4 linked regions of the Alligator mississippiensis genome follow. The protein of the gene in region 2 purifies or fractionates together with the protein of the main gene of each other region. This does not show direct contact. Links are inferred from orthologs where the notes say so. Each region holds a gene or a part of one and is shown on either strand. Other genes may lie near its edges.

Region 1 (7,041 bases), on a different chromosome or scaffold from region 2:
CAGGTGCACGGGAGGTTGTATGGACAGTTGGCAAAAGGTTGCTGCAGAGAAAGGGGTGTGCGAGCTCTAAAAGACCTGTCACGATGAGCCAGAGGGCTAAGATTTACTTCTGTGCAAAGGAGAGTAGGATGCTGACCCTCTTCGCCGAGGCAGGCCTCCCGCCCTGCTTCCCTTCCGTATTGCACAGCCAGGTGTAGCACAGCCCAGCTCATCCTGCACTGTGACCACACTGCCTAATCCTCACCTGTAAAATATCCCTATGACACCAACCCTGGGTCATCATCGCTCTAGTGGGCAGCACTGTTTGCTTTCACTACGGCTGTCCTAGCCCCATCCCACATGGCTTCCCACACCTCAGTTCCAGCTTGCAGCTACTAGCTCAGCCCAACACTCCCATTCATTCCTGAGCCGAGTCACGGGCATATAAGGGGCTTGAGCGAGTGAACTAAATTCCTGTGACTGGGATTTAACCTCTGGCCCCCAAAGCTGAAGGGCCAGTGATTGCTGTTTCTCCAACAGCTCTTACTGGGCACACCAGAATAACCTTGATTTCACCACACAGATTGTGTGGCTGAGAGGTCACTGGTACCACCTAACAGCTTTCAGAGCTAGCTAATTAGAAAGTCACATTTTTGCACAGCAAATCAATCTTCCTTCGGGCTCTGTACAGAACTGCTGTGTGCACAGATCCATTGTCATATGTACTTGTGGAAATAAAAGAAATGTGAAACGTGATCCAGCAAGGCTCAGTTGATGTGCTTATACCTGCTGCCTGCGCCCAGCTGGAGACAGCAGAAACTTGTTACAGCTCCGTGTTTATGATGGTGTCTGGTGCAAAGAGCAGAGAATGGTTATTGTGGGTTTGCATTTTCACCAGCACTTTGTCTGGGGATACAACTGAATCTGCAGTTCGCTGAACCTGAGTCTTTGCTTACACCTGCACAAAGCAAGCATCAGGCTCCAGTCTGGCTGGGCACCCAGGTGGGAGGGCCAAAGATGCCTAATTGTGGTTGGCATCTGATGAAGTCAGCCCTCTGCTTACCCAAGCGCATGCTATATGTCTCTGACTGAGTTAGTTTAAAAGGCACAAAGCTACCCAGGCTTCTGCCCAACAGGGCTAGCTGCATCTCTAATTCTGGAGTGCCACCGTGTGGAGCTCAGCTCAGTGGTAAGTCAGTTTACAAAGACACCAGTGTCTGGAACAGAGGGCGTTAGGCTTCAATGCTGCTCGTCAGAAACCTCTTACCCTTCACTGGATCCCAGGCAAGACCTCATGTCAAAATGGGGTTTCTTGAAGACTTTTTTGGACTTGTAAAGCAACTCCCACACAGGAATCCCCAAAACAGTTGGGAAAAATGAAGACCTGACAAAGAACGACTTGCATGTGAAAGTCTGTCTAACTTTATCCCAACTATAGAGTTGGTCCAATAAAAGAGGTCACCCTAAGAAATCCTTGCCTCTCATGAAAAATGAATGACTTCTCAATATCTGTGGAGGGTAATGCTCATATTGTATTATGCATGTGAAAAACCGAGAAGCCTGGGATGGCTGGTGCAAGGTTGATGTGAAGCAAGGGGTGTGATAGTTGTAGAAAGCCTGTCACAATAAGCCAGACTTTCTAAGACCTATGGCCATACCTTTTCTTGAGTTTCAGTGCCTAAGTTTGCAGGTGCTCAAGGCTGAAATACTCAGGATTTATTCTATTCATTACAGGTTTTTATAAAGTAGAATCTGAGCCCCTTACAGTAGGGCATCAAAGCAGTGAAACTAACATTCATCACATGGTTGCTCATCTTCCCATCCTTGCTTCAGGGGAAGAGCAGTGCACTAGGGAACTTTGTTTTGTTCTTAAAAATGTCACATTGCCTTGTGTTCACATCAGACAGGGCAAGGTCAAAGACACTTGGAGCATGAAGTACTGAAGTGTGTGCTTGCCCTTAGGCATCCATTCCTCAACCCACGGAGCCAGCATCCTGCATTTTAGGAGAATTGGCAACACTTTTCAGCACCTGCCACCCAAGCTCAAGTCATCAAGAGCTGCAGAAGCTCAGCACCTCTGACTGCCAGCCCTGCAGTTTCACAAGTTGGGCAAACAATCCTAATAGTCATTGATGACTGAGCAGCGCATAACCCAGCAAAGTGCATCCAAGCAGTCTTAAGCAAAGCCAGGAATAGAACTGCGACCATCTCAGCCTAGTCCTCTGCTTTGGCCCCAGGCAGCACTTGCACTCCTCTGAACTAGCGCACAGTGTCGATGCAGTGGTCATCAGCCTTTTCTGCATGTTTTAATGTGTTATCTTCAAAGGCCTATCTCATCTCACAGGCAACGCCTGCAGTCGAAAAGGAGACGCAGCATAATAAAGTTGGTCTAATACAAGATAGCACATCTACTCAAGGAACTTTGCCTGCCAGCATAATACACACACTCAAGGATTTGCATCTGGGGTGTCTGGGATCTGGCTGGCACATTGGGCCTTCAAAGAGACCACTAACAAAATGAAAGGCTCGGTGCAGCAGCAGCCCTTTGATCCAGCCACTGCCTCCTTTCTTCCTTCCAGCTTTGCTCCTGATGGCAGGGACAGGTCTACTCCTTTACACCAGTTCCCCCTGGTGGTGAGCGAGGGTGGCCATCACAGAGGATATTCCGGTTTTCTGCTACTCTGTCCTCTATTGATACGAAACCCGACGCCTTCATATCCTCTATTTTTTTCTTCACCATATGGGGTGGCTTCCTTTTTGGGTCACCCCACACCATGTCTTCCCACACCACGTCTCCGTGGCTTGCTTTCTGTACAGTGTATTTTATTTTTCTCTTCAAGAGAGAAATAGAGGACATAAAGGCTCCGGGTTTCGTATCAATAAAGGACAGAAGACAACTGGACTGTCATCTAGGATGCCCACCCTACGGCGAGCTGCCGGATCTGCTTGCCAGAGGCATCTTCGAGCTCGGGGCGGTGTTCGCAACGCAGCCGAGCATCGAGGATTTCTTCACGGAGCAATTCGTGCTTTACAAATCCTGTCTTGAAAACACTCCCTTTCATCCGATTGCTCTGATGCCTGATGAAGGGCGCTTGTGCCTGAAAGCTTGCAACGAAACAGATTTTTGCAAAAAAAAAAAAAAAAAAAAATTTGGTGGCCTCTACCACCCGCCCCGATCCCTTTTTCCTCTAGACCAATACAGCAAAAATCTTGTTGGTCTCATAAAAGATATCACCTCTACCACGTGCCCCGAACGCTTTTTCCTCTAGACCAATACGGCTACAACCTGGAAGACGGAAGAGACTGAATTTTAGCCAGTTTTTTAAATGACATCTTCCTATTTCCCCACGCAGGGAGCAACGGTGACCGGCTGAAACCCGAGGTCCTGCTCCCGCCTGGGTCCAGAGCCATTTGCACCATCACAGGCCCGCAAAGGAGGAGAGAGGCTCCTGGCCAGCTCAGACCTGCTGCCCCGGGCAGCTTTCACCCCCCGCTGTGAAATCCCAGGAGACAGGAGCTTGCATTTCTGCGCAGGCCTTGTGCCATCTTTCCCCCGGTGTCCGATGAAGGGCGCTTGTGCCCCAAAGCTTGCAATTAGGGGTTTTTTTTGGTGTGTGTGCAAATATCTTGTTGGTCTGAGAAAGAAGATTGCCTCCACCCAGGCCCTGCCTGCCTCCCTGCAGTGCTGGGCTGTCTGCAAAGTGAGGGTGAGGGGCAGCGGGGTGGAGGAGGCGCAGGGACGGGGCTGAGCACCACCCCTGCCCTCAGTGTCCCTGCTCCCACACTGGCCGCCACGACGGCGCTGTGCCACCCTCAGGGCACCGCGCTCGGCGCTCGACTACTCGCCCTGCGGCAGCTTGAGGCGCTCAGCTCCTCGGGCGCTCGGCTCTCGGCTCCTCGCCCTGCGGCGGTTCGAGGCGCTCGGCTACTCAAGGGGCGCTCGGCGCTCGGCTCCTCGCCCTGCGGCGGTTCGAGGCGCTCGGCTACTCAAGGGGCGCTCAGCGCTCGGCTCCTCGCACTGCGGCGGTTCGAGGCGTTGGGCGCTGCGCCGCGCCCGGACGTGACGTAAGGCGAGGCGGCGCAGACCGGAGCGGCGGGAGCGGAGCGGAGCGGTGCGGCGTGGTTGGCGGCGGCAGGATGGTGAAGCTGACGGCCGAGCTGATCGAGCAGGCGGCGCAGTACACCAACGCCGTGCGCGACCGCGAGCTCGACCTGCGCGGTGAGCGCCCCCGGCGCGGCACGGCACGAGGGCCTGTGGGGGAGGGGCAGCCCTGGTGGGGGGAGGGGTGGATGGAGGGGGGTGGGGCTGCAGTGCCCTGTGCTGACCCCCCGCCCGCCCGCAGGGTACAAGATCCCGGTGATCGAGAACCTGGGCGCGACCCTGGACCAGTTTGATGCCATCGACTTCTCGGACAACGAGATCCGCAAGCTGGACGGGTTCCCGCTGCTCAAGAGGCTGAAGACGCTGCTCATGAACAACAACCGCATCTGGTGGGCTGGCGCCGCACGGCATCGGTCCCGGGCTCGTCCCGGGCGTGCGTTGGTTGCCCCCCTGGGGGCGGGGGTGGAGTCGCAGACGGGCTCCGAGCGGGGCTCGCAGGTTGTGACTGCCCCGGCACGTAGACCTCCAGCGCCCGGCCTTCACTTATCCTTGCTTCATGGGCACGGCAGCTGAAGCCGGAGGCCGGGACGTGCCCGAGCCGCCTGCGCGGGGCTGTCGCTGGCCGTGGCTGTGCTGCGTAACAGCAAGCGTAAATGGGAGACGGGCCAGGACATGGGAGACGGTGGGCCGGCCGGCCGGCGCGGGAGCTGCTCTGTCGCTGGAGATAAAGATCATAACAGAGCCCAGGCGCTCCGCTCCCCGCACCCTCGACCCCCGTGAATCTGGGGGGCGTCTGATGATTCAAATGCGTGGCGGCAGATTGCAGTTTTTTCCCAGGACTCTTACTGAAATTTTCTTGAGCATAAAATAAGCTTTGGTTTTTCTTTTCTTTAATATATTTATTGTAGTCGGATTGGTGAAGGGCTCGAACAGGCCATGCCCAACCTTCAGGAGCTCGTTCTGACGAACAATAACATTGCAGAGCTGGTAAGTCTTCCGTTACAAATATTTAGGGCTAAGTTTAAGTTACGCGTGTGTCGTTTGTTTTTTCTCATGCTCGCTCACGCTCTCTCTATTTCTCTCTCTCTCGTATGTGTGTGTGTGTGTGTGTGTGTGTGTGTGTATGTATAGATATCTATATATGTGGGGGGGGGTGTGTGTATGTATAGATATCTATATATGTGGGGGGGGTGTGTATGTATAGATATCTATATATGTGGGGGGGGGGTGTATGTATAGATATCTATATATATATATGGGGTGGGGGGGGTGTGTGTATGTATAGATATATAGATATCTATATATGTGGGGGGGGGGTGTGTGTGTGTATAGATATCTATATATATATATGGGGTGTGGGTGTGTGTGTGTGTATAGATATATAGATATCTATATATATGGGGGTGTGTGTGTGTGTGTATAGATATGTATACACACACATCTATCTATCTATCCAGATAGATAGATATTGATATAGATATACACACACACACAGAGCTATATAGATAGAGATATATCTATATATGTGTGTGTATCTATATATCTATATATCTGTATAGCGACACGTATGTATATGCAAAGAGAGATAGATATTAGATGACCTTTTGAAGTTAAAACCATTGTGTTAGTCTCCATGTGTACACTAGGACAGCTGTTCTTACAAGGGTAATCTTTCTGCCGTACAATGAAGCAGGAGATGTTTTTGAGATTCATTGTTTTTTTCACATAAAAATGTTACAAGGTGATAGTATGTAAATAGATCGAATATCTCATTTAGCTAAGGATGTCCAGCACTGTTCCCAGGACTGGGGCATTAGCATTTGCCTTCAGATACTGGATAGTGTAACGGAAAATGTGCAGCTCAGTTAAAGAAAAAAACCTTACATTTTCTCTAATATTCTAGTTTGATTAGACTTGAATGAGCTAACTAGTAAAATGGTCATGGGATTTTAGTAAATGTGGATGAGGAGGTTTCACAAAAGTCATTTTAATGCTTTGGTGTTTTTGGTCTGTTCATTTCACAATCTTGTGAATTAAACGGACCCAGAACTATTTAATTTTAAACTTTTTTTGTTTTCTGTTCATTTGCACACCAAAGTAGAGATTAGGAAAAAGTATTGAAAAATTCCTACCTCTTGAATTTTGTATTCTTCATCAATGAGTAATAGTGTTAGTACGTTACCACTCAAGGCTTTTTTTTTTTCTTGGCTATGTCTGTATAACTCCTCTGAAGTCAGTGCAATTGCACTGGCATAAATTAGAACATAATTTAGTCTTTGGTATGGAACTCAAAGCATATTGAAATGCTTGATGGCATGCTTAATACTCGCTTACTTGGTTCTCCATCAGCTATTTGTAGCTTAAACCTGAAACTTGCTTATTGCTTACTGCTGTTTCTGTTACCTTGAATGAATATTATCTGTAAGGTCTGTCTCTAGTGAAGATTTTGGTAGTATGATTATGTGAACCACTGCAAAGTATTTGTCATCATTTTATAAAAACATTGACAGGATATTGCTTGTAGAAAGGTAAGGCATTTGTTGAATATTTTTTAACGGACATGATTTGGAGGTGTGGGGGTGCATGTGTGTTTGGTGTGGGGTTTTTTGGGCCTAGCACCATACTAGGTATAATTTGTATTTGACCAGTGATTTGGATGTCATTGACAATACTGTAGACTTGAATCGGCTTCTTTTAGTTTTGGACTGCTCTGAAATAACTCATTGCATTACCATTTTTCAGGGTGAGCTGGATCCACTGGCAACTGTTAAATCACTGACTTACCTGAGGTATGAAATCTTAATTTGTTTGAATAGATTTTTTTATATCATGTTGTATATTTCCTTATGGTTAACGACAGCTTTAAATTGGTTAAAGATGCATAAATTTTGATGAGTGAGCTCTCAAATTGCCAAAAGGCTATCAAACGAAATAGAAATGAGCTGTTACATTTGCATTGA
Region 2 (7,208 bases):
AACTATCCAGACATCTTTACATGTTGCCTTTCTTCCACCAGCGGATGGACAGGGTCTATGATGGAGACTACAATGGTGCATACCACATTGGGACCGACCGCTACAGAGAAACTGAATGGGAATCTGCATCCCAAACTCACTGATTGAAAAGACGTTCACCTCTTCTTTGGCAATTCTGCAGTGCTCCAGCAGCAAAGCTCCAATTGGCTAGAAAAAGACCCAAAAAGAAGGTTTAACATACCTTTCCCCATTGTCAACTCCCTAACACACAATGGACACTACAAAGAGTATGTGGGAGACATCAACCAACTCATACGACAGAAAGAAGACAACACAAACTAGGATTTCTAAGGTGGTTTAGGGCATTTATGCTACTTAGATACTCGCAGGGATTTTGATGGTGTCTATTTTCACCATTTACCCCTGACATGGTTTCTATGCACAGAATTTTCATAATAATGAAAAAATATATTTTTAGAGATAGGAGAAAGCAACTGTAAAACCAAAGACATCATCAGATGTCCTTTAGATTAGGCATCTAACCTGAAACTGCTTTTAGTTCATTTATTTTACACCTAATGGAGGGTTTCTGCAGATACCCAATTTCTCTGTTTCTGCAATCAAACTTCATTATACTGTAAGAACATAAGAACTGCCAAGTACTCGGTCAGACCATAGGTCCATCTTGCCCAGTCTCCTGTGTCACACACTGGCCAAGAGTGGATGCTGAGAGGGAGAGTGAAGTGGGTTTTTCCCACTGTTCCTCTCTCACTTGCAGCCTCCAGCATTTAAGGTCTAGGAAGTTCTAATTCAAAGGCTGTCCCCCTAACTCCTGTGTTCAGTAGCTACTGATGCCCCTTCCCTCCAAGAATCTGTTCAATCCATTTGAATCTGACTAAACTGTCAGCTTCCACAACATCTGGTAGTGACAAGCTCCAAGCTTTAATAACAAGCTGTGTGAAAAAACTTTGTTTTGTTAGTTTCAAACTTACTACCTACTAGTTTCATTTTGTGACTCCTAGTTCTTGTACTGAGAGAGAGTAAATAATAAATCCCTACCTACTTTCCCTTTGCCGTTTAGTATTTTGGAAACCTTTACCATGTCCCTAGTCAAGCATCTCTTTTCTAAAACGAACAGGCCTAGACTCTGCAGTCTCTCCTCATATGGAAGCCTCTCCATACCACAAATCATCCTTGTTGTCTCTGTACCTTCTCTAATTCTTCTATATCCTTTTTCAGGTGTGAGGACAAAGAACTGGGCACAGCATTCGAGGTGTGGATGCACAATGGATTTATGAAGGGGTGTAACGATACTTTCAGTTTTGATCAAGTTTGTCTCCTCCCTGACTAAAGTTTGCACAAGGCATTAGCTGCTCTTTGCTCAGTGTCATTAAAGGGATTTTATATAAATATCAGTGGCAAGTGTAAAAGCTTATTTTTTTGTTCTACAAAATCAAATCTGACAGGCAAGTGTGGTCAGGACAATGTGAGCTCCAATTCACTTTTTTTAAAGAAAAGTGCATCAGTACATTAAAATAAACCTGCATAAACACACAAAGGTTCCGCTGTTGTGTCTAGAGCCCAAATACTGGTGCAGTACGCTAGAGAAGTAGAGCGTGAAAATATGCACAAGCAAGAAATAGAATTATTATTTTTTCTATCTGCATTTTACTCAGGTTAGAAAAAGACAGCAAATGGAAAATTTTAAAACTAAAATATAATTTGTAACATGGCAAAGAGCAGCCTTTGAGCAAACACTACCCTTTAATTCAAAATGTTTGCTGGTTTATTTGTGTGTTCTCCATCCATCTGTAGTAACATACAGAAATGTTAAAGATATCTAAAATGATTTGCTCAAGGCCATGTGTCAAGTCAGTGTCAGAGCCATAAGCAGGACACAGGAGCCCCATCTCCCATTCCCCTGCTCTAACCCCTTCTGCTTGCAAAGGGAGGAATAGTAACAAAATGTGAATAACTATGTGATTTCCTATTAAACTTAGTCTTGCATATATAACCAATGATGTACTTAAGAAAAATGACCAGGACTTCAGATTATGAAAGGACTCCCAATTCTACTGATAGGGAAGGAGATTAAAATAGCCTTCCCTCTCAGTTTCCATAAACTAACTGATTTCCAACATGTAAACACTAAAGTCCCCAAGTCTCCGTGACAGTGAAATATATTTAAGACACGGGTGTCAAATTCATTTGCTCCCTTGGGCTGGATCCAGACGAAAGGGCTTCTCAGAGGCCAGATTCACAGGTTCATAGATTGTCAGGGGCTGGAAGGGACCTCACAGATCATTGGGTCCAACCTGCTCACACTCTAGGCAGTAAAAGAACTGGGGTCAAGTGACCCCAGCGAGGTGACTGTCTAGTCTCCTCTTGAAAACCTCCAGGATAGGTGACTGCACACCTCTGGAGGGAGTTTACTCCACAGTCTGGACACCCTGACGGAGAAGAATTTTTTCCTGGTATTAAGCCTGAAGCAGCCTTCCAGGAGTTTGTATCTATTGGTCCTGGTCTTTCCTGAGGGTGCCCCGGTGAACGGTTGTTCACCGAGCTCCTCATGCACTCCTCCGACATAGCGGTAAGCTGCTACCAAGTCCCCTCTCTACCTTCTCTTCTTTAAGCTAAAGAGGCCCAGGTCCCTCAGCCTTTCCTCATATGCCTTGCCCCGCAAGTCCCTGATCATACTGGCGGCTCTTCTCTGGACCCTCTCTAGTTTCTCCACGTCCTTATTGAAGTGCGGCGCCCAGAACCGGACGCAGTACTCCAGCTGCGGTCTCACCAGTGCTGAGCACAGCGAGACTCCCACTTCCTTAGCTTTACACGAGATGCATCGGTTGATGCGTGCCAGCATGACATTTGCCCCGCTGACCACCGCCTCGCGCTGACGGCTCATGGTCATGCGATGGTCAGTCATTACCCCTAGGTCCCTTTCGGTGCAAGTCAAGCTGCCACCATTGTCACCACGACCCATCTCTGGCAGCGGGGCACGTGGTGACAGTGTTAAACCCCCACTGCGCTCCCCACCACCGAGTTTCTGGCTCCACAGACTGCATAACCCACCTCTGCAGGCTGGATGCCACCCATGCGCCAAACATTTGACATTCCTGATTTGCCCTTGGACCAGGACACCTAAAATATGTTGGCCAAGGTTAGACGGCACAGCAGTTGCTTTTTGTGGCCTAAATATTTTCACTGTGTTTGTCAAATGCTACAAAGGGTTTTACAACCAGGGCTACAGCAGGTCTGTCACCCCACCACGCTGAACACGACCTGCAGCACCAAACGTTTCCTGTACCTCCGCCTCATCGGTTCGGAAGTAGAAGAGAAAGTTGACGACCAGCTTCACGAGGCGTTTCTTCAGCACTGGAGAGAAAAAAAAAAAGAGAGAGAAAGACCGTTCAGAAGCTGGTTTGTGGGATGAAGAGCAGGAGCCATCTTGTCAACACGAGGGGCGTTTCATAGATTTTAGGGTCGGATCGGACCCATTACATCATCGAGTCCGACCCCTGCCCCGGGCAGGAAAGAGCGCTGGGGTCAGACGACCCCGGGCAGGCGCGGGCGGAGGCACAGTCCACGCGTGGCAGGACAAGGAACAGGCCCCTCCGGCCGCCTCCACTTCACAGACCAAATGGATTTGTTCGTCCCTTCCCACACGTCAGGGACCTTCCAGCGTGACCCGATCTCACAGGACCCCGCGGCGGCGCCGGTCCGTGGCAGAGGACTCAGGGGACCGTCTTGTAACTGCCCCGCAAGAGGCTCTCCAAGCCCGTCCCCACCTCCCAAACCCCCTCGCGGCCAGGGGAAGGGGACACCAGCTCCCCACGCCTGCTTCCAGCCTGGCTCGCCCGCGCCCCCCGACCACCGCTGCCAGGGGCCGGCAACGGCCCAGGATGTGGCCTCGCCCCTCCCCCTAACTGCCCCGCCCCCCAACTGCCCTGCCCCTCGCGCGCCCCTCACCGCTGCCTTTCTTGGGCAGGCGCATGAGGATCTCAGCCGCCTTCTCGGCGGGCTGCCGCGACAGCGACAGCAGCTCCCGCTCGCTGTAGCGCATGGCGGCCCCGACCCGGCCCGGCCCCGCCGGCCGCCGCCAACGCGGAAGCAGCTGCGCGCCCGGCGCGCGCCCAACCCCGCCCCGCCCCCTGCCCCGGAAGCCCTTGCTCTGGCGCGACCCGGATGCGCTCGGCGGCCGGAAGCAGCCTGGTCCTCCTCCTTCCGGCGCGGGGGCGCATGCGCAGTGCCGAGACGCGGCCTGTGAGGGTGAGTATTGCCCGGGTGCTGTGCGGGGGGAGTTTCGCTGCGAGGCTGCCACACGGGGCCGGAGGGAGCGGAGAGCGGAGCAGTAGGTCAGGCGGGGGGCAGGGGAAGGGCGGGGTGTCGGAGGTCCCCCTCGCGGGCAGCCCTGTCGCGGGTCACTGTCGCCTGCGCCCGCTTGGGTGCTGCGCCCTTCGGTGTCACGAGCGCGAAGGGACGAAATCCCAGTTTCTAGCTTTGCTGCTCGTCCCCATCGATTAACTAACTCGCAGCTCGCGTATCTCACACTCACGTCCTCTTTTCATTGCTTTTTCTAGGGTTCTTTTTTTTCTTTTCCTTCTCAATAATTTGAAGCCCCAGAGACCAAAATCATGGATTTTCAGCATCGACCTGGAGGTAAAACCGGGAGCGGAGGCGTCGCCTCGGCCTCGGAGAGTAACCGGGACCGCAGGGAGAGGCTCCGGCAGTTGGCGTTGGAGACGATCGACATCAACAAGGTGCGTTTTGGTCTCGTGGTATATTTGGGGGACGTGGGTCTGTGGGATTTTAGCGCCGAGGTACGCTGCGGTGCAATGCGAACGTGCGCTGTCCGAAGTCGAGTCGATTGGCGCGTGTCAGTAGCCAGAGGGAAGGGAATATGTCGCTTCTCCAAGTCCAGCCTGGGCCGGTGCAGGCCGTGTCTAGTAAATCACTGGCAAGAGGATGTGGCTGACCTAGAAGTTAGAGGTAAATGAGCAAAACATAGCAGTTTTACTATTAAGCGTATTGGAGGGACCTTAGTTATGGCCCTGCCCTGCCAGCTGTTATGTACATCTGGTTTTACACACCCGTTCTCAGACGGTGCTCCACCTGCGTGAAGCCACTCGCAGAATTAAGGTTTTAGTTGAGAATTGTGGATAGGAATGAAATCTTCTTGAATTAAGATCCCCTCGTGAAGAGACGCTGTCAAACACTGAATTGAGAGACACTGTCATTGGATCACGTACGTGCTTGTGTCTGTCTCGACTGCAGGCTTCTCAGTATTGGGTCCTATGTTGCAATTTTCTTGCGCAGCAGTGTTAATATTGTTGGCAGTGAAAAATAACTGTTTCCTCCCTCTTTTCTGTAAGTCCTTTCAGATGGAAAATTATCCTCAAGATTTAAAGCAAGAAGCTAAGATCCCTCTTTCCATGCCACGGCGATTGTACATCATATACTTTTGAGAGTTCAATATAATGCAGACAGGCTACGGATACTTGCGTGTGATTTCTAATTTCTGTGACTCTCTTTTTATTTCTTAGGATCCCTATTTTATGAAAAATCACTTGGGCTCTTATGAATGCAAACTCTGCTTGACGCTGCACAACAATGAGGTGAGTTGAGCATTTGGTTTCTTATGAAAAATGAGAACAGACAGTATTGAAGTGTTGTTGATTTAGGCTCTGGAGGGCTTGTTTCCAAGTCCCTGAGAGCTTCTCAAAGAAGCTTCTCAACCGCAAGAGAAGGTTGAGAGGCGACCTTGTGGCTGCCTACAAGTTCATCACGGGGGCACAGAAGGGAATTGGTGAGGATTTATTCACCAAGGCGCCCCCGGGGGTTACAAGAAACAATGGCCACAAGCTAGCAGAGAGCAGATTTAGACTGGACATTAGGAAGAACTTCTTCACAGTTCGAGTGGCCAAGGTCTGGAACGGGCTCCCAAGGGAGGTGGTGCTCTCCCCTACCCTGGGGGTCTTCAAGAGGAGGTTAGATGAGCATCTAGCTGGGGTCATCTAGACCCAGCACTCTTTCCTGCCTATGCAGGGGGTCGGACTTGATCTATTGAGGTCCCTTCCGACCCTAACGTCTATGAATCTGTGTAGAGGTTGGTCACTGATGGCGGGGGAGTGCATCTGTGTGTACATTGCACAAGTTGCCATTCATTACCAAAGCGTTAATACAGTATGTTGGTTACTCCTTGGGTATATCCACATGCTATATCTTTTTTACACTGCTTAAAACTGTCTGTCAGTGTCTCTGGTTAGTTTGGGCTCTGCAGAGTAGTTCTGCTTAAAGAACTTTCTTTTGCATTAATCTGGATACCCTTGATTTTAGGGCTGTTCTTGAAGAGAGTTTTTTCTTGGCTAAGTAATATCATTCATTAGGCTTGAGCCTCTTTCTTTAGTTCTTCAGTCTACTTTGCTGTCAAGCTTAATAAACATAAGATTGAGTGATCTTCAGATTTAACCCTTAGGAAATGGGCTAACTTCCAAAGAGATGATGCCAGTAAACTGTCTGTATATTGTTTTTGAATGTTTGGGTGGCTAAAACCTGTCCCTGTATTTGGCTGTGTAGAATCAGGCACTTGGACTGAATGGTAAAAAAAAATATTTAAATGTATTTGATTGATGTGCTTGTAGTCCACCATAGTATTCACTAGCTCTGCTGTGAATTAGCAGATTGCTGAGAAATAAGATAAATGAACTGTCATATTATTGAATTTTTATTAATTTAAATGCTTGCAAACTAAAGTATGATTAACTTTATGCAGCTAGAGAAGGACTTTGGAAAAGTAACATAAGTATGTGCATTGGAGCAGGTCTTGGACAGTGGTCAGCAACATTTTTTCTGGCAGAGGGTTGGAATGATCCAGCTCAGGTCAGAAGCAGGCTGGTGCTAGAACCTGCCACTGCTCCTCCCTGCTGCCTGGCTGTGGCACAGCGTGGGCAAAGCCCCCCAGAGTGGGTGAAACCCTCTGGCTCCATGGGCCATAGGTTGCTGACCCTTGGTCTAGGACTCCGTGCCATTCCTGTCAGATCCTACATAGCTCCTTAGTCAGTTGCCAGTTCCCAAAATAACCAAACATAGGAGTGAAAAAGGGGGAGAACTACAACAGGGGAGTGGGTTTTGGGTGAGGAGGAACATGGGGTAAAGGAAGTGATTAGAGGTTGAGCATTGTGTTGGTGGAAAGTGGTGGATGAAGCCCT
Region 3 (7,294 bases), on a different chromosome or scaffold from region 2:
TCTTGCCTGTATTGATGTGGTGTGTTTGAAGCCTAGCTCAGCTGGGTAGCAGGCCAGTACACATATCTGTTCTGAAAAAAATCCATCCAGCACCGATTACAAGTCCACCTTGAGAAGCACCAGCATCTCCAAGTCCTTAAACCAACACAGCTACAACCAAAAACACACAAAATCAATGCTGTATCTGAATCAGAAGCCTCAATCTGAGTTTGAGCAGAGCCAGGACAGGCTGAAGAAACACAGGTGCACAGACATGACCTACAAGCACCTCAATGAGATGGCCTGAATTCTCAGCTGCTGGGGTTATCCCAGTGGTTCCTCTGGCCCCAGCTACTAATTGTCCTCACCTCACCCTGCTGCCACAGCCCCTGCTGCTGCTGCCTTCTGTTGGGCCACACGTACCAGGCATCCCCACCATGCCCAGAGCTGGAGGAGGGCACAGAGTTCAAATCCTCCCACAATAAATTGCACAAGGACTTAAGCGAGTACTCCTATGCCGAGCTGCCTCATCAAAGTAGACTGCCTCCTTTCACCACCCCACCACTGAAGGGGAAGGTTTTACAGATGTCAATCTGAAGACCAGTATCCCCCCAAGTCAGGCATCCCCAAATATGCAAACTTGCTTTGAAAATTTAACCTTGGATAAGATGATGGAAAAATTCCTGCAAAGTGCAGATACAGAAGAGAAGTTTTACAAATATGATCAATGGCTGAAAACTGAAAACAAATGCTGTGAAACAGCTTGCTCAAAAGCTCCAGGTGATACAAATATTGGGGCAGACACTGGCAGGAACTTGTTTTAAAGTATCACAGAAGTCACAGTCTGTACCTGCCAGTCCACCTCAGAAAGCAAATCACTGCTAATATGGCTATAACTTTAAATAGAATGACACGACAGCATCACTTTCTCCACCAGTAGGGTATAGAATGACCTTTTCATTACACAAAACATGGTCCCTAAAGGAGATGAAGAACATTTTTCCATTGATAACCAATGTCATTCTTCCTTTAGCATAGGAATGTCAAACTCATTTGGCCCTTAGTCTGGATCTGGATTGCAGGGCTCCAGACCCACTTTTGGCAGTAGGACAGGGCAGATAGTGGCAACATAAATGGCATCAGGTAGCCATGGGGGTTAATGCAGCTGCTGCTTGCTGACCTTCACAGAAATACATACCCAAGAATTTGGCAGCAGGCCATGCTCCTAAATTCCTGGCCTCTACAGGAGCCCTGCAGGCCATATGTTTAACACACCTATTCTATCAGAAAAAAGCAGACAGGTCAAGGTGGCTGAATAGGAATCAGTGGAGGATGTGAGGAGTACACAGGAGCATGATATTTTAATGCAGGGGTGTCAGACTCACCCAGGGCCTCAGGCTGGATCTAGACTGTTGGGCTCCTTGCAGTCGGGAACCAGCCTGAGACACGAGGGTGGCTAATGCAGCTGCAGCAGCAGTTGCAAGTCTGGCAGTGGTGGCCGCTCTGCATGTGGCAGCATCTGGTCTGTAGTGCAGACTGGGAGTGCTGTTGCAGTGAGCCAAGCTGACCACTGACAGCCAAGGTGGTGAGGCGAAAGGACCATGAATTTGGTGGCAGACCATGTCCCCCAACTTCTGGTGGCCCAGTGGTAGCCTGGTGTGCCAGGCAGAGAGGCTCAGCTGGCCATATCTGGCCCATGGGCTGTATGTTTAACACCTCTGTTTTAATGCAATTCCAGTTCTCAAAGCAGGTATTGATTTTGCCCAGCCCCTCCTGGTTGCTGCTCCAGATAGAGGATGACAACATACTACTGCCATTGGTTACTGAATACAAGTAGCAAAAATCTTTATAGTGCATCTCTGTGGTTCCCATCTTTGCTCCATTAATTGTTTCCCTAAGGGGGACAGTAACGGTCCTTTATCAGTCTGAGTTGACATTCAAGTCAGTAGGCATTAGGAAGTAGGATGCCTGCTGGGAACTGAAAGCCACATTATAGATAAGTTGCCAAGAATCCTCTGGCTTTCTGACTAGTGGGCATAAATGATACCACTACTCATCCATCTGAGCAGGCCAAAAGGAGCAGCAGGGCTGCGAAACGGAGGGTGAAGGAACTGGGCTTGAAGAGATGTTCTTTTCACTTCTTCCAGTCAAGGCCAGAAGTGAAGACAGACAGATGCCTCCTGTGGGTGAATGCACAGCTGTGCAAATGGCTTTACTGACATGGCTTTAGCTTTCCTGACCATGGGGTGATCTTAAAGACTGTTGTATCAAGATGAAGAAGGGGTGGGAGGTGTTGGTCTCAGACTTGCTTATCTAGTTCAATGGAAACTGGTGACAAACCTACAAATAAATATAAACCCAAGGCCTAAGAACCAGAAATCATATGCACAATCATAAGCATCAAGAAGGCAACTGGTGTGAAACTTAGATCGTCTATTTAGAAACCCCATCAGGGAGTCCTGGACACCCCTCCCCACTTTTTGCTGTGTGGGTGTGTCACTATATTCCTCCTCCCACATGCTCTGATCCCAGAAGCAGTTCAGTCTGAATCAGAGATTAGTGTGTGTGGAAAGCAGGTTGAGAGACAGTTTCAAGGGAGATGAGACGCACACATCCGAGTTGAGCTGTATAGGTCAATGATTGCACCCAATGCTATTAAGGTGACTCTAGGTTAAGAAAAATGGTCACAGGTCATAACTCTGATCCCTACTCAAGTTGGCCAAGTTATCTCAGAGGAATGGGTGGGAATATGGAAATATGAACCTGAACCGAACAAAACTTTCCCACACAAAGGCAGAGGGGTGAGAGCCAGAAAGTGCCTTGAGCCGTAAGGACAGATTCAGAGGACCTTGAGACCTGGCCACCCGGTAGTGAGTAGGTCTATATCTCCTCTGCTGGATATTGCTGCTTTTGGAGATGTTGCCTGGTTGCTAAGATCCCCATAAACCTGCGTCTGGTTCAGAGGAACTTGCTTTGGCTTGTCTTGTGCTTCTCCAGATGAAATAAAAGCCCCTAGCACTGGCAATGTGTAGGGGGTGCATGTGCACCCCCTGAGAAAAGCAGTGTTGGCGGCACCTGCAGAGTCACTGCTCGCCACCCCACCACTGCCGGTGTCTGTGGGCGGTCCGTGATTGCCGCTGGCTGCTGCTGATGTTGCTGGCAGCATCTGGAGGTGGTCGCCGACCACTGGTCAGCGCTTGCCACCCTGCCACCGCCAGCACTGCAGCTGCCTGCGGGAGCGCCCCACTTGCCGCTGCCACGCTCCTGCTGCTGACAGCACCACAGGGGCATGTGACGTTCATGGCCCCAGAGCTTCTCAGCCTCTGGTGGGCTCAGATCAAGCGTAGTCCTATGGTTACCTGCCAAGGTGACCCCTGAAGCGGTTTCCTAGTCACACCTGGGGAAGACCACTCTCCTGGCATGGGGATAGCACCCGCCAAGGTCACATGCAGTAAAACTTCCCACTTAGCTGCTGGAGTGGGACGGTCTTGGCTTTACACCCACTTTTAAGGACTCCTCCCTAGCTTGCTCCTGGGGCCTACAGCTAAAGGCAAGCGAAACTCGGGGGCATCCAAACCCCAAGCCTCCAGGCTCCGGCCTGCACATACGATGCCCACCAAAGGATTTGGAAACATCTGAAACCCCAGATGGGGGTGGAGGATGTTTGCCAGTAGTAGGCCACTTATGGTGCTGGACTGTCTCACGGATTTGGAATTTGATTTGGCCATTGATTTAAAGATTCATAGATCATTCGGGGCAGGAAGGGACCTTGCAAGATCATCAGGTCCAGCCCCCCCCCCGCACTAGGCAGGAAAGGCAACGGGGGTCAGGTGACCCCAGCAAGGCGACCAGCCAGTTTCCTCTGTCAGGGTTTGCCGCTCTTTACCCCCTAAACTAACAGTCTCGCTGGCAGAAGTTTATAACAGAACTTGGCTCCAGCAGAGGTGTGGCTCGTGCTCACCGACGAGCTCTCTGAATGAAACGGTGAAAGCGTCCTGTCCCTGGTGAGACCCTGCGTCCGCCAGGGCTTTGCCAAGGTGCCTTTGTCAACCAGGTTTGGAACAAAATATAATAAATAAATGAAATTAAAATAAATAAATAACAAATAAAAGCCCCGAGGTCTGACTGCGTGGGACAGATCACACGAGCCACGTGGCCCCACGACTGCTCTGGCTGGTGTTAACCCGGGTAAGCCCCGGGGCAGGGCGGGAAAAGCAACGAAAGCGGGAAAAGCAGCGGCCGGGGGCGGGGCTCTGTGACGCTCGTCACGTGACGCGCCGCCGGGGCGGGGCGGGGCCCGGTGGGGGTCACGTGGGGAGGGCGCCCGCATCACGTGGTGCGAGCAATGGCGGCTCCGGCGGAGCGCGGGGCGGGGGTCGCCGCCGAGGACGCGTTTCTCACCTTCTACACCGAGGTAGCGGCGCGGCGCGGGGCCGGGAAGGCGGCGGGGCCGGGCCGTGCGCTGGGAGCGGCCCTGAGCGAGCTCCGCGCCTTCCCCTGCTGCTCCGGCCCGGGCCCGGGGCTCCTCCGTGCCTGCCGGGGGCTGGGGTCGGCGGGCCTGGCAGGCCCGTGCTGCAACCCCCGCTCCTGACAGCAGCAGGGTTTTGGGGGGGATGCAGAAACGCCCCACCGCGGGTTGGTGCCATGGTGGCGGCGGGGACCAGCCGCCGTGCGGGGCGGACTCGAGAGGCCTGCTTGGCTCGGAAGAGCGGCCCCCGATAAGGATTTACGAAATGGCGAGCGGCTAGAGACGTATTATCGACTCTCCCGAGACGAGAACTAGGGGTCCGAATAGGCGGTGAGGTAGTTTTTGTCGCGCGGCGTCTATCACGCAGGCGTGGAGCGCGTTGCCACCAGATGTGGCAGCTGACGGCTCAGCCGGGTTCCCGGAGGAGCAGACGCAGCCTTGGAGGAAAGGGGCTTCGGTGGCTGCTGAGCCCGGGAACGAGGGGCCCGGCCTCTGAACAGACCTTCCCTGGACCTCGGATTCTGGAATCTGCGATAGTTCAGACAGTAGCTGCCACGGCAAGGGGCTGTACATGTGTACACTGTGACGTGGCTTAAGCTGATTTAGTTAAGTCGCCTTATTTTAAGTCGCTTTAGTATGTGCGCACACCCTAGGTGAGTGAGAGAGGAGCAGTGGGGAAAAGCCCTGGTCAGACCCAGCTCCTGTTCAGCATCTACGGTCTTGCCACAGCTTGACAGGAGCCTGGGCAAGATGGTCCTGACCTCACAGTAACCTAGACAGTTTCAGAGGCGGGATGTTTTTCCTCCTTTATCTTAAGGTGGCTCTTTCCACCCCTATCCCACTGCGTGTTGCAAGTAGGTGCGGTTCACATGCAGCATTTTAAGCCACAACATACAGCCATAATTGTACTTTTCATATGGCTCGTCTCTCCTACCATAACCTAGATAGGAGTCTCGTGCGCTGAAAGAGATTTCGTGCGTGACCCTGTAAGCACTGTGTGTCGAGCTTGTTGTTCCACTCCTGCTTAGCCGAGTCTTGGAAATCTGTCATCCCACTAATGCTTAAGGGAGTTTTCTTCCCGATTCTTTTATGTGACTGTTGCACCTTTTCAGCAGTCAGTTAGGCCAACAGAAGCATGTAGTGGAATGATTACTTCGGGTTAGCTTAATCCTGCAGGGAATGAAAGTCAGCTAAACTGAAAATCACTCAACCCAAAATATGTGTCCAGGAGCTTGCAGCAATTCTACTAAATCCGTTTAAAATATCCCTGTTAAACCTGCATAGGTCTGTAAGGACCTAAAGCCTGAGAGAGTTTATGCAGATTAGAGAGTGCAGAAGGCAGTACTGGTGGGACACCCAAGAATAGGGTGCACTGTGGAGGATGGCACCTCTCCTTAATGGGAAGCTGCAGACAGAAGCAAAAGCAGTTTCTGAACTCGTACAGCGGAAAGGCAACAGGGAGGGTAAATAGAGCAGTGCTGTATAGCAGTGGTTCTCAACCTTTTTTGTACCAGGATCCATTTGTAGCCATCGATGGACAGTCCCAACCCAGTGCCTCTCACTCTGAACCCCTGCCCCAGGCCTCAGCCCCTACAGTGTGGGGTGTGGGGCATGGAGGGGGCCCCAAGCAGCCCCTGGCAGGCTGGAACTCTGCCAGCCTGCCAGGGAAAATCCACGGTTTCCCACTATTTTTTCTACTTTAAAGGAGAATCCATTTTTAAAGTTTGTTCATGACCCTTCCATATATTCTTACAACCCACTTTTGGGTCATGACCCGCAGGTTGAGAAATGCTGTTGTACAACATCACAGTGTAAAAGGTTGACAAATGATTCTAGCTAATTCTTATATAAGGAAATGTCCCCACTGAATTGATGGCTACAGGCCTGAGTTGGGGTCAGGTGTCTCTTCCTCCTCTCAGCAAAGCTCCCATGGTCACTACAAAAGGGTATAATTCATTATGCTGTAATAACTGTCCCTCTCTCCAGGTGAAGCAGATCGAAAAGCGAGACTCTGTTTTAACATCAAAAAACCAGATTGATAGGCTGACCCGTCCTGGATCCTCTTATTTCAACCTCAACCCTTTTGAAGTAAGTCTGAGCACTCTTCCTCTTCTCTGACTTTCTCCTACTCAAGGAGCTTCCTATGTCTGTTGGCTATCTACTTGCTGTTGAAAAATTCATTCGGTGTAGGCCCTGATTGCAAGGGCAAGGATGTGTCATGTTCCTTGCACTCTCAGTGGGAGGTAGGCCTCTTAGTAGATTTCACTTATATTCTGGCACTGACAGACTTGACAGATTTGCCTCTAATTTTAACAGAATATTGCTTTTGTCACTATTTACTGCTTGTGCATTTTATTTTGGATATCTGAAATAAAAGCAAGGCTCAGTAGTCAGTTTTACCTTAGCATGAAGTTACATAATTTGCAAAGAAGTAAATGCATTCAAGTCTCCTTACATGTGATGTTTTAAATGATAGCTGTCTGATGTATACATAGGTGAGAGTCCTGTTCTGATCTAATGCACCATGTGCATGCTGTGTAACAAAGTCTCGAAAGAGAATTGTACTCGCAATGCAAACGTTAGCCTGGTTTTTCTTCTTAGCCAGCCCTTCTTAGGACCTCTCTTTCACCTTCTAGTTTTCTCTGGCCTCAGCTTCTCAGCCTTTTATGTTCTGAGAAGCAAAAGAGGCCTCCTTGCACTGTTTGCCAGGGTGATCTGCAGAATAGTCCTGTGGAAAGTCCTAACACTTGATTGGAAAGTAGATCAATTGCTCAGAAAGCTGCATGAAACCTTATAAGTACATTGGGTTTGTTCTTTGGAGTTGTTGATTTTGTGCCCATCGTAACA
Region 4 (7,986 bases), on a different chromosome or scaffold from region 2:
TTTAGTCCAATAATTTGCATTTTTAAACAAGTTATTTGCATACTGTGCAGTTATTGCTATCATCTGCAATTTGAATAGTTTTCTACTTTTGCTCATAGTCCTTTTAAAGAATAAGTCCTTGCAATACCTTCAGGAAACGTAACCAATTAAAAATTTTGAAACTATTTCTTCTTCCGCTAGACCTGAACCAATAGGAAACTCAACAGTGACCTTTTAAATTCATTAATGAATGATCTTTGTCTTTGAATGCCAGTAATGGCTTTTGTCTTCTCCACTTACCATCTGGCTTTGCACTGTTTTGCTGACTTTCTATGCAACAAAGAAGCAATCCGAGACCACTGGTTTTTGCCATATTTCATTACAGCTGCTTTAAGAATTTCATCCTTAAAAAGAGAAATAGTTGTTATTACTATGGGTCAGTAGTAAACTTTATCAGAGCCAAATGCTCACTTGCAACTCAACAGGGAAATGTAGACAAGGCTTCAGCAAGGGTTAACACCTGAAGGTAGATGTGATTAATGAAGTGAAAATAGTGACAGTCATTTATTCTGAGTATACAACAGCATTTGGGGAACAGTCAGTCTCACCATTTCTCCTGTATGGTTAATTTCCATTGTTTGTGTGGGTCTTTCAAGGAGCAAGAACATCCTATTTTTAAAAAATGCACACCCGTGTAAATATCATGAAAATCAGGGCAGGTATACAGCTAAAACTGACTACTTTTTTAAAGCAGTCTTTATTTCAAGATGATGGTGTCTTTATTTTTCAGGACTGTAGTACCTGACAGTTCAAGTCATGGGTCAGAACTCCACCATGCTAGATGCTGTACAAATGCAGAGCAAAACTAGAAGCTTCAGGGATGCAACACAAATTACACAAACTTATCCCAGCTTGCCTGCACCAGGTCTGTACTAGTAGAGCTAGTGGTTTACATGCTTATATTTGCCCCTTAGGCCTACAGTAAACTTTTGTTCTCCTATAAGTGATTTAGTAAGCTATGGGAGAGGCAAAGATTTTTTGGGGGTGATTCCTTTTACTGGACAGCTGAATAGTTGGGATAAAGTTAGACGAGCTTTCAAATGCTCAAAAGCTGAAAAGCTTGTTACCCCTTTTGAGACTTTCCTGGGGGCAGAAGACAATGCTTTCCTAAATAATTGAGTGGAAACCAGAAGTCTTATTTTGTGCAGCCAAAAGCACACAAGGGGGCCATAAAAAGTGCAGTCTATGAAGTGCTCCATCGCTATTTGCTACAGCTTTGACTAAGGATATGGTGGGGCAAAATGGAAGGGCATCCACTGTTGACAACAGACAGCTGGGGTCAACATATATTCAGCACCAGTTCAGCAGCTAATGGTGCCGATCGCAGGTAAATTTTCCTAACACCGAAAAGCCCTTCCAAAGTGCGCTCTGGCTTTAACGGGAGGCTGATGAGTTTTGGTGCAGGGTATTTCAGGAGAATATTAAGTATTTAATATGAAACATGCTCTACGTATTTACTTTCATAAGCCTCAGATTCCCTTTTCTTGGTAGTTTTTATTTCTTTGCTGGCAGTTGGTAACACAGGGCCCTTCTAGATATTGAGATAAAGGTGTGATGGGATCTGATGCATGATCCATACTATCATGCCTCCTGCCACACCAGACATACATGGCAGGAAGCATGATTGTGGCATTCAACATCAGATCCAATCATGCCTTACTGCTTATGCGGGGGGACCCTGAAATCACGATGCCCAACTTCTCCTGCACTGACAAGTGGCAAGCTCCTGTGGCAGTGACCCCTGCAGCTGACGGGGCTCACAGCTGTGACAATGCGTGGGACACTGCCATGACTGCAACTCCAGCAGCTGCAGGGCTTGCAGCGTGCATGGTGCACAGCTGAGCCCCGTCACAGGGGTGGCCACATGTTCAACTAATGGTGCGATAAGAACAAGCCACGAAGCAACGGCACATATTTTATAAAATAAATTTTATGACTTATTCCTCCTTTTACCACACCAGTAATTTATGAAGCATGTGGCCGGGTCACCACTTCAGACACGATTCCCTGGTCAATTGTGTCTTAAGGGTCATGTGTAGCGGGGGGGGGGGGGGGGGGAGGGGGCGGCCCATGGGTGCAATTAACTCTGTGACAGTGAAACAGTCACAGCGGTTTTTTATCGTGACAAATCATTTGCTTCATGTCAATCATCCAGTGATGAGATCTCCAAGCCTCTATGCCAGGGGTGGGCAGGATGCGGCCCGCCAGGACATTCTATCTGACCCGTGGCGGCCCTAAATAATTTAGAAAATTAATATTAATCTGCCTCTGGCTGCCTGTCATGCGGCCCTCGATGGCTTGCCAGAACTCAGTAAGCAGCCCTCTGCCCAAAGTAATTGCCCAGCCCTGCTCTATGCCCGTCTTGGGGGTGGGGGGAGGATCCCTGAAGATGAGAGATTATTTGTGCTTTGCCCCAAAATAAGCAGCACGAAGGCTGCTTAGGCAGGAGCTGAACCAGAGGACTTCTCTTTGCAGAGGGCTGCTTTGCAGCTTCTTACTCCATATACCACCACCCCAAAGGAGGGAGACTGAGAAGTTAAAAACAAAAACTCAAAGCGGGACTAAGAATCCCTTAATCTCCCACGTGAGCCCAAGAGACCTGAGCTGCGTTTGGCCACAAGGAAGGAAAGCAGCCCAGTACAAACACACAAAGCGCATGCGCACGTCTCCCAGCCTCCTCCCCCTATAAGTGCATGCGCAGGACTCCCGGGCCCTTTTCGGCGCATGCGCTCTCGTGTAGAAGCGCCGTCCGTTGACTGGCCCCGTGGGAATCGGGAGGGTACGGGAAGGGCCTACCTCGGTGTTCCTCCACACCCCGCCTTTAATCATAATCCGCGGCATCTTGGCGGCGAAGTGGAGCGGGCTTCGCAGCGGAGAAAACCGGGGCGGACGGGGGAGAGACGCCGCCGCCGCCGCCGCCTGTGCGCAGGCCGGGATAGGATTCTGCGCAGGCTCAGTGAGGGCAACCGAGTGTCAGAGCTCTGCGCATGCGCAGCGGAGAATGTCGGCCACCGTTCGCGCATGCGCGGGCGCAGAAGGCGGGGAGAGGGGCTGAGGCGCGGAGCGAATCTAGCGCCCCCTGGCGCGCGGAGGTGATGTTGGCGCGGGGATCGCTGAAGGGCCACGTGTGTCCGTGCTCTGCCCCGCAGGTGCTTGTGCTCGCTGGCGAGGCTCCCTTGAAACCCTCGCACAAGTGCAAGCCCCAGGGCCCGCGCCATACAGCTGCCCCTGCACTGGCACCAGTGCGTGTGGGTTTGGAGGCCTGGCAACTGTAGGGCTACTGCAGACCAGGGGCAGTATTTCTGGCTCCTTGCTGGGGTCGTGGGAGCGGTCAAGGAGCTTGCCCGAGATGAAGATCCTGCGTCTGAAACCCGCCCCCACTGAATGCCCCGTCTGCCTGCTGTGGAAACCCATCTTAAAAAGCGTGTTTGCAAGACAAGGGTCTTTGGGGAAATCTGGTATCAGATTTACCCCCCCGAAAAAACCTCATCTGCTTACATCCTTAGATCACCACGGCTACAACCTACACCGTTGCAAGACAACGGGTCTGTTCTGATCCACGAGAAACGTGCGGGTGCTGGTCGGGAATGTTCGCTTCGCCCGCGCTGACATCCTTGTTTGCAACGTACCTTTTCTATGCAAGATCATTTTGTGGAAGTCCTAGAGAAGCGGGGCTGGAAGGGACCTCCGGACGTCACCTAGTCCAATCCCCTGCCTGAGGCAGGATCGTCCCTATCCAAAGCTTCCTGCGCAAAGCCGTCATCTAAATAAACTTAGTACAATTACTGTCAATCCTGATGTGACACAAGATGTAACACCCTAACTTGCCAGAGGTGCAAGAATGCAATTTGGGACATTGGGCCAATGTCCTTTAATAAAAGGTTGTTAACATTTGCTCAAGACATCCCAGGGAGAGCCACATCCCCTGCTAGAGAACGGCAATCCCTCCGTCCCTCTCAGTCTATACCAATCTGACCTTGGGGTAAAATTCCTTCCTGACCTCAAATATGACCACTGGTCTGACCCTGAGCAGAGGGGCAAGACCAGGAACTTCTGGCTTTGGTCTCAGCAGAAACATTAGCACATCCCAGCCAAAATCCTCAGCCTTCCCTGTAGCCAACACCCAATGCCTTAGAGAGGCTTAAACACATCCTGACACGTGTAGCAGTAAGGAGGGGAGCAGATTAGGGGATTCTTAGTATTACTTTCGCCCCATTTCTACCTCTGTTGGGATAATCGCATCAAGTAAGCCACCCTAAGCAACCCCTGCCATTAGAAATCCCCTGGTTCAGCCCCTGCTTAAGCAATCTTGCCACTGCACATCCTGGACATGCAAATAATGTCTACTATTGTATCTACTATTGTCTACTAATGTCTACTATTGTATCCAGAGTAAAGGGCCCAGTGGTTGGTCCCTCAAGCTGTATTTCTATTAGGAAATGAAATAGCCACTGCTTTGCTGAGCAGCCTTTGTACACTCAGTTTTAGAGGGACAGTTAAAAAAACCCCTGATAAAATGAAGTAGCTTGAAATCAGTTTGTGATCACTGCAGCACAGAAGCATTTTGAAAAATTTCAGGGTATTCCAAGATACTGCTTTACAATGGTTATTAAAATCTTACAATTATTACAGTATTCATTGCATTTTGAAGAAGCCATATTAATCTGTTTATAAAGGCAAAGCTGTAAATACTTCAATGGCTAACACTGCATTTTACCAACTTTTGAGCTAAGGTTATTTTAACACATTTAAGACTTTAATAGTGGAAATGTACATCAAAACCATGTACATTATCTGAACACAATTCTATACAAACTGATGAATAGAGATGCAGCACGTTTCCATTATTTATCTTTTCCATATGGGTAGCAGAGAGTTTTTCAAATGATATGGGCAGCAATGCAGAACATGAACTTAAGTGTATTTTTCAGAAACAGCAGTCCACGTTTATAACAGATGCAGGAATCAACTTAGTCACCTCTTCTAAAATAATTTACTTTATTTGATATAAAATCCTACATAAACAAAACTCTTCATGGGTTATGAATTTTAGTAAAAAACAAGGTACATGGGAAACAAGCAGTGCTAAGAAAAGTCTCCTTTAAATAACTATTAGCTAAAATAATAAGAAAAAATTAAAAGACCCATACTTTTTCTATGAAATGTTTATGACCCTGGAGAAGATTTTCTGGACTGGGCTGCACAATAACTAGGATAAAAGTGGTGGGCTCGGCTGGAGCCAACCACGCTTTGTAACTTGCACTTCCAACTTTTTTGGTTGCAAACAAGTTTGGTATTTATCCAGAAATGAGTTTTGAGGATGCTCAGCATCTCACAAAATTAGGCCACTAAAACGGTGGCATGCAAAATATAGACGATTATTTCTGTCAGGCTGCCTGAAAAGTAAATAAGCATCAAAAGATGCATTCACATCAGCAATTCTCAACCAGAGTGCTACGAGACACCCGCAGGAGCGCTGCGATGCCACACATTGTACTCTTGCATTAGAGTTCCCTGATAACCCTAAAGCAGGCAGGAGCTGGCTCAGGCTGTAGGTCTTCCCAGTCTGTCCCCGTTCCCACTCGACCTGGAAACAGAGGCATGAGAAAGAGGCGCACAGGTGTAACTGTTCCCGGGACTGCCAGACTGGGAAGGGCTATAGGAGGAGGTAGCTCCTGCCTGCTTTAGGTTAATGAGAGAGCCCTACACAGGAGGATCACACACAAGTGCCACGGCCATTCCCAGTCTGGCTGTGCAGCAGGTAAGTAGGGCAGTTTTATCTGGAGGCAGCAACAGCCGGTTGACAAGCACTGAGGTAAGCTGAGCCAGCAACAACAGTGGTTCTCAACTGGGAATGTTGCCACATTCAAAAAAGCAGTGGAGGGTGACTCTGGAAAGTCTTTCATTTCTCCTCTCCAAGACTGAAAAGGCAAGATGTCAACGTGGATCAGTGGCTAGTAGTCTATTGACTGGAATGCGTTTACACGTACCCTTTAACCCGCATTGTACATCTCTAAATTGGTGATTGCAATGACCTGGTTCCATAAGTTATTTTCTTAAGTCCGTCCTCTGGACACTGGTATAGAAAACCCCCAGAACAGGGATTGCAACATACAGCAAATGGGAGGAGGGATCCATTTTCAACTAATTTTTCACACAACTCTGCAATTTTTAGTTTGCAAGTTGCTGATGTGCTAGAAAGAATTGGATTAAAAATTATTTCACTTAAATATGTTTTGTCTGCACATCTCAATCATGTGGTACAGAAAAGATCAGCCTACTATAAAGGTGGGGCCTGTACTGAAAATAAGTACAGGAACTCAAATAGCACCTCACATCCTTGCTCACAAGGCAATGGTAGGTGGTGCAAAAGTGTGTTTATCAATCAGGTAGGCACTTACAGAACAACTCTTTCCTATACCAACCCTGGCCTAGATTTTCACCCTTTTCTTAAACTACATTGGGCTTTTAACAGCTTTGAGTCTTTTTAACACAGCACATGATGGAACTTAAATTGAAAATGTACATGTGTTTTACGCCCGCTTTATGCATAATCCCTTAATTTCCATTCAGTGTACTATAGCCCAGATCCCATGGATGCTTCCACAATTTTTACCATGGCAACTTTAAAATTGATGACAGTTGGCATAGTGGATGCAGGGCAAAGAACATGTTTGAAATACTGTGAACTTCCTGGAGCTTATAACCCCAAATTTTAATGAATCCTATTTTACTGTCTAGTCTTCAAACACTGCTGATTGATGGTTCTATACAAAACTGAGGATGGAAAGCATTATATTGAACTTCAGGTATCTGCAGGTTTATCCTTGTGCACTTTTATGTGCTTCTTCAAAGCATATTTATCCCTAGTGGAAAACTCACAGGAATTGCAGTGTAACTTCAAATGAGTCAGCAAGTGGCGCTTGAGGTGGCTCGATGTGCGGAAAGCAAGAGCACACTGGTTGCACGTGTACGGCCTTTCACCTGTATGAATTCGCAAGTGTTGCTTCAGGTTTCCACTGTGAGCAGTGGCATAGCCACACTCTTGACACCTGTAGGTTTTGACAGACAATGGTGATTGCTCTTGGAGCTTGGTACCATCTATATGTGTAACCAGATGCTGCTTGAGGGTTTGCCATTTGTCTGTTGAATAGTCACAGGTTTTACATTTGAAGAGCTCCGTGTTGAAATGCAGGAGCTTGTGTCGATTTAGGTGACTTGTGGTACGAAACTTCTTCTCACAAATATCACAGGCGTGGGGTTTTTCACCTGTGTGAATCATGACGTGGAGCTTAAGGTTACTTAAAATGTATGTCGTGTAATTGCATTCTGCACACTTGTAGTATTGGGCTTGACTTTGTGATGGCAGAGCATTTTTGCTTTCTTTGCCCCTGTAAAGATCCATCGGTTTCTCAAAGCTTTCTGGGCTGAACATGGAATGGACACGCTCCAAGTCTTCCACAGAACTAAGATCATTTCTTCTTAGAGTTGTGCCCTGAGTTTTACACTGCTTTTTAATACGTTTTGAACTGTTCCCTAAATACAGGTAAGAATCATCATATTTACGACATTCCTGTAAGTGCATGTAGCTATGTCTCCGCAAATGGCTAGAGGTCCGAAACATCTTGCTGCATTCATTACACTCAAATGGTTTTTCACCAGTGTGTGTCCTCAAATGCAGCTTAAGGTTGCTATACATGTAAGTGGCATAATCACAGTGCTGACACCTGAACAGTTTGAAAGAAGTCCTACTGGGTGACCTTGTGGCATTAGGCGTAACACTTTCCAGAGGCTCATAATTTGTAACAATTTCATTACGTCCTGGAACTTGTGAAGGAGTGACCTCTTGAGACAACTGCGGCAACACAAAATCATGCTGGTAAGTATTAGGAAGATTTTCTGATCCATTGTCTACAATAGACAGATTGCTACTTTGCTGCTGGCTAC

What was found.
Region 1: the proteins of SF3A2 (region 2) and SNRPA1 purify together in Homo sapiens (affinity purification with mass spectrometry; 8 studies listed by BioGRID and IntAct, counting the BioPlex papers as one, with this or other methods). This does not show direct contact. The link is inferred for Alligator mississippiensis from reciprocal best matches to the Homo sapiens genes SF3A2 and SNRPA1.
Region 3: the proteins of SF3A2 (region 2) and DNAJC8 purify together in Homo sapiens (affinity purification with mass spectrometry; 3 studies listed by BioGRID and IntAct, with this or other methods). This does not show direct contact. The link is inferred for Alligator mississippiensis from reciprocal best matches to the Homo sapiens genes SF3A2 and DNAJC8.
Region 4: the proteins of SF3A2 (region 2) and CDC5L purify together in Homo sapiens (affinity purification with mass spectrometry; 3 studies listed by BioGRID and IntAct, with this or other methods). This does not show direct contact. The link is inferred for Alligator mississippiensis from reciprocal best matches to the Homo sapiens genes SF3A2 and CDC5L.

Annotation. Positions count from the first base shown.
Region 1 is NC_081834.1:6,848,425-6,855,465, forward strand, and holds the start of SNRPA1 (U2 small nuclear ribonucleoprotein A'), read left to right. Parts: upstream 1-4,036; 5' UTR 4,037-4,116; coding exon 4,117-4,198; intron 4,199-4,322; coding exon 4,323-4,470; intron 4,471-4,989; coding exon 4,990-5,068; intron 5,069-6,823; coding exon 6,824-6,870; intron 6,871-7,041. UniProt on the Homo sapiens protein: Involved in pre-mRNA splicing as component of the spliceosome. Associated with sn-RNP U2, where it contributes to the binding of stem loop IV of U2 snRNA.
Region 2 is NC_081839.1:7,019,670-7,026,877, reverse strand, and holds the start of SF3A2 (splicing factor 3A subunit 2), read left to right. Parts: upstream 1-4,205; 5' UTR 4,206-4,269; intron 4,270-4,291; exon of another isoform or gene 4,292-4,355; intron 4,356-4,580; 5' UTR 4,581-4,634; coding exon 4,635-4,760; intron 4,761-5,543; coding exon 5,544-5,615; intron 5,616-7,208. Other genes in the region: PLEKHJ1 (pleckstrin homology domain-containing family J member 1), read right to left, coding at 141-207, 3,308-3,375, 3,970-4,063. UniProt on the Homo sapiens protein: Component of the 17S U2 SnRNP complex of the spliceosome, a large ribonucleoprotein complex that removes introns from transcribed pre-mRNAs.
Region 3 is NC_081829.1:9,952,469-9,959,762, forward strand, and holds the start of DNAJC8 (dnaJ homolog subfamily C member 8), read left to right. Parts: upstream 1-4,285; 5' UTR 4,286-4,324; coding exon 4,325-4,393; intron 4,394-6,433; coding exon 6,434-6,535; intron 6,536-7,294. UniProt on the Homo sapiens protein: Suppresses polyglutamine (polyQ) aggregation of ATXN3 in neuronal cells.
Region 4 is NC_081824.1:11,837,149-11,845,134, reverse strand, and holds the start of CDC5L (cell division cycle 5-like protein), read right to left. Parts: upstream 3,003-7,986; 5' UTR 2,881-3,002; coding exon 2,836-2,880; intron 384-2,835; coding exon 280-383; intron 1-279. Other genes in the region: zinc finger protein 107, read right to left, coding at 6,845-7,986.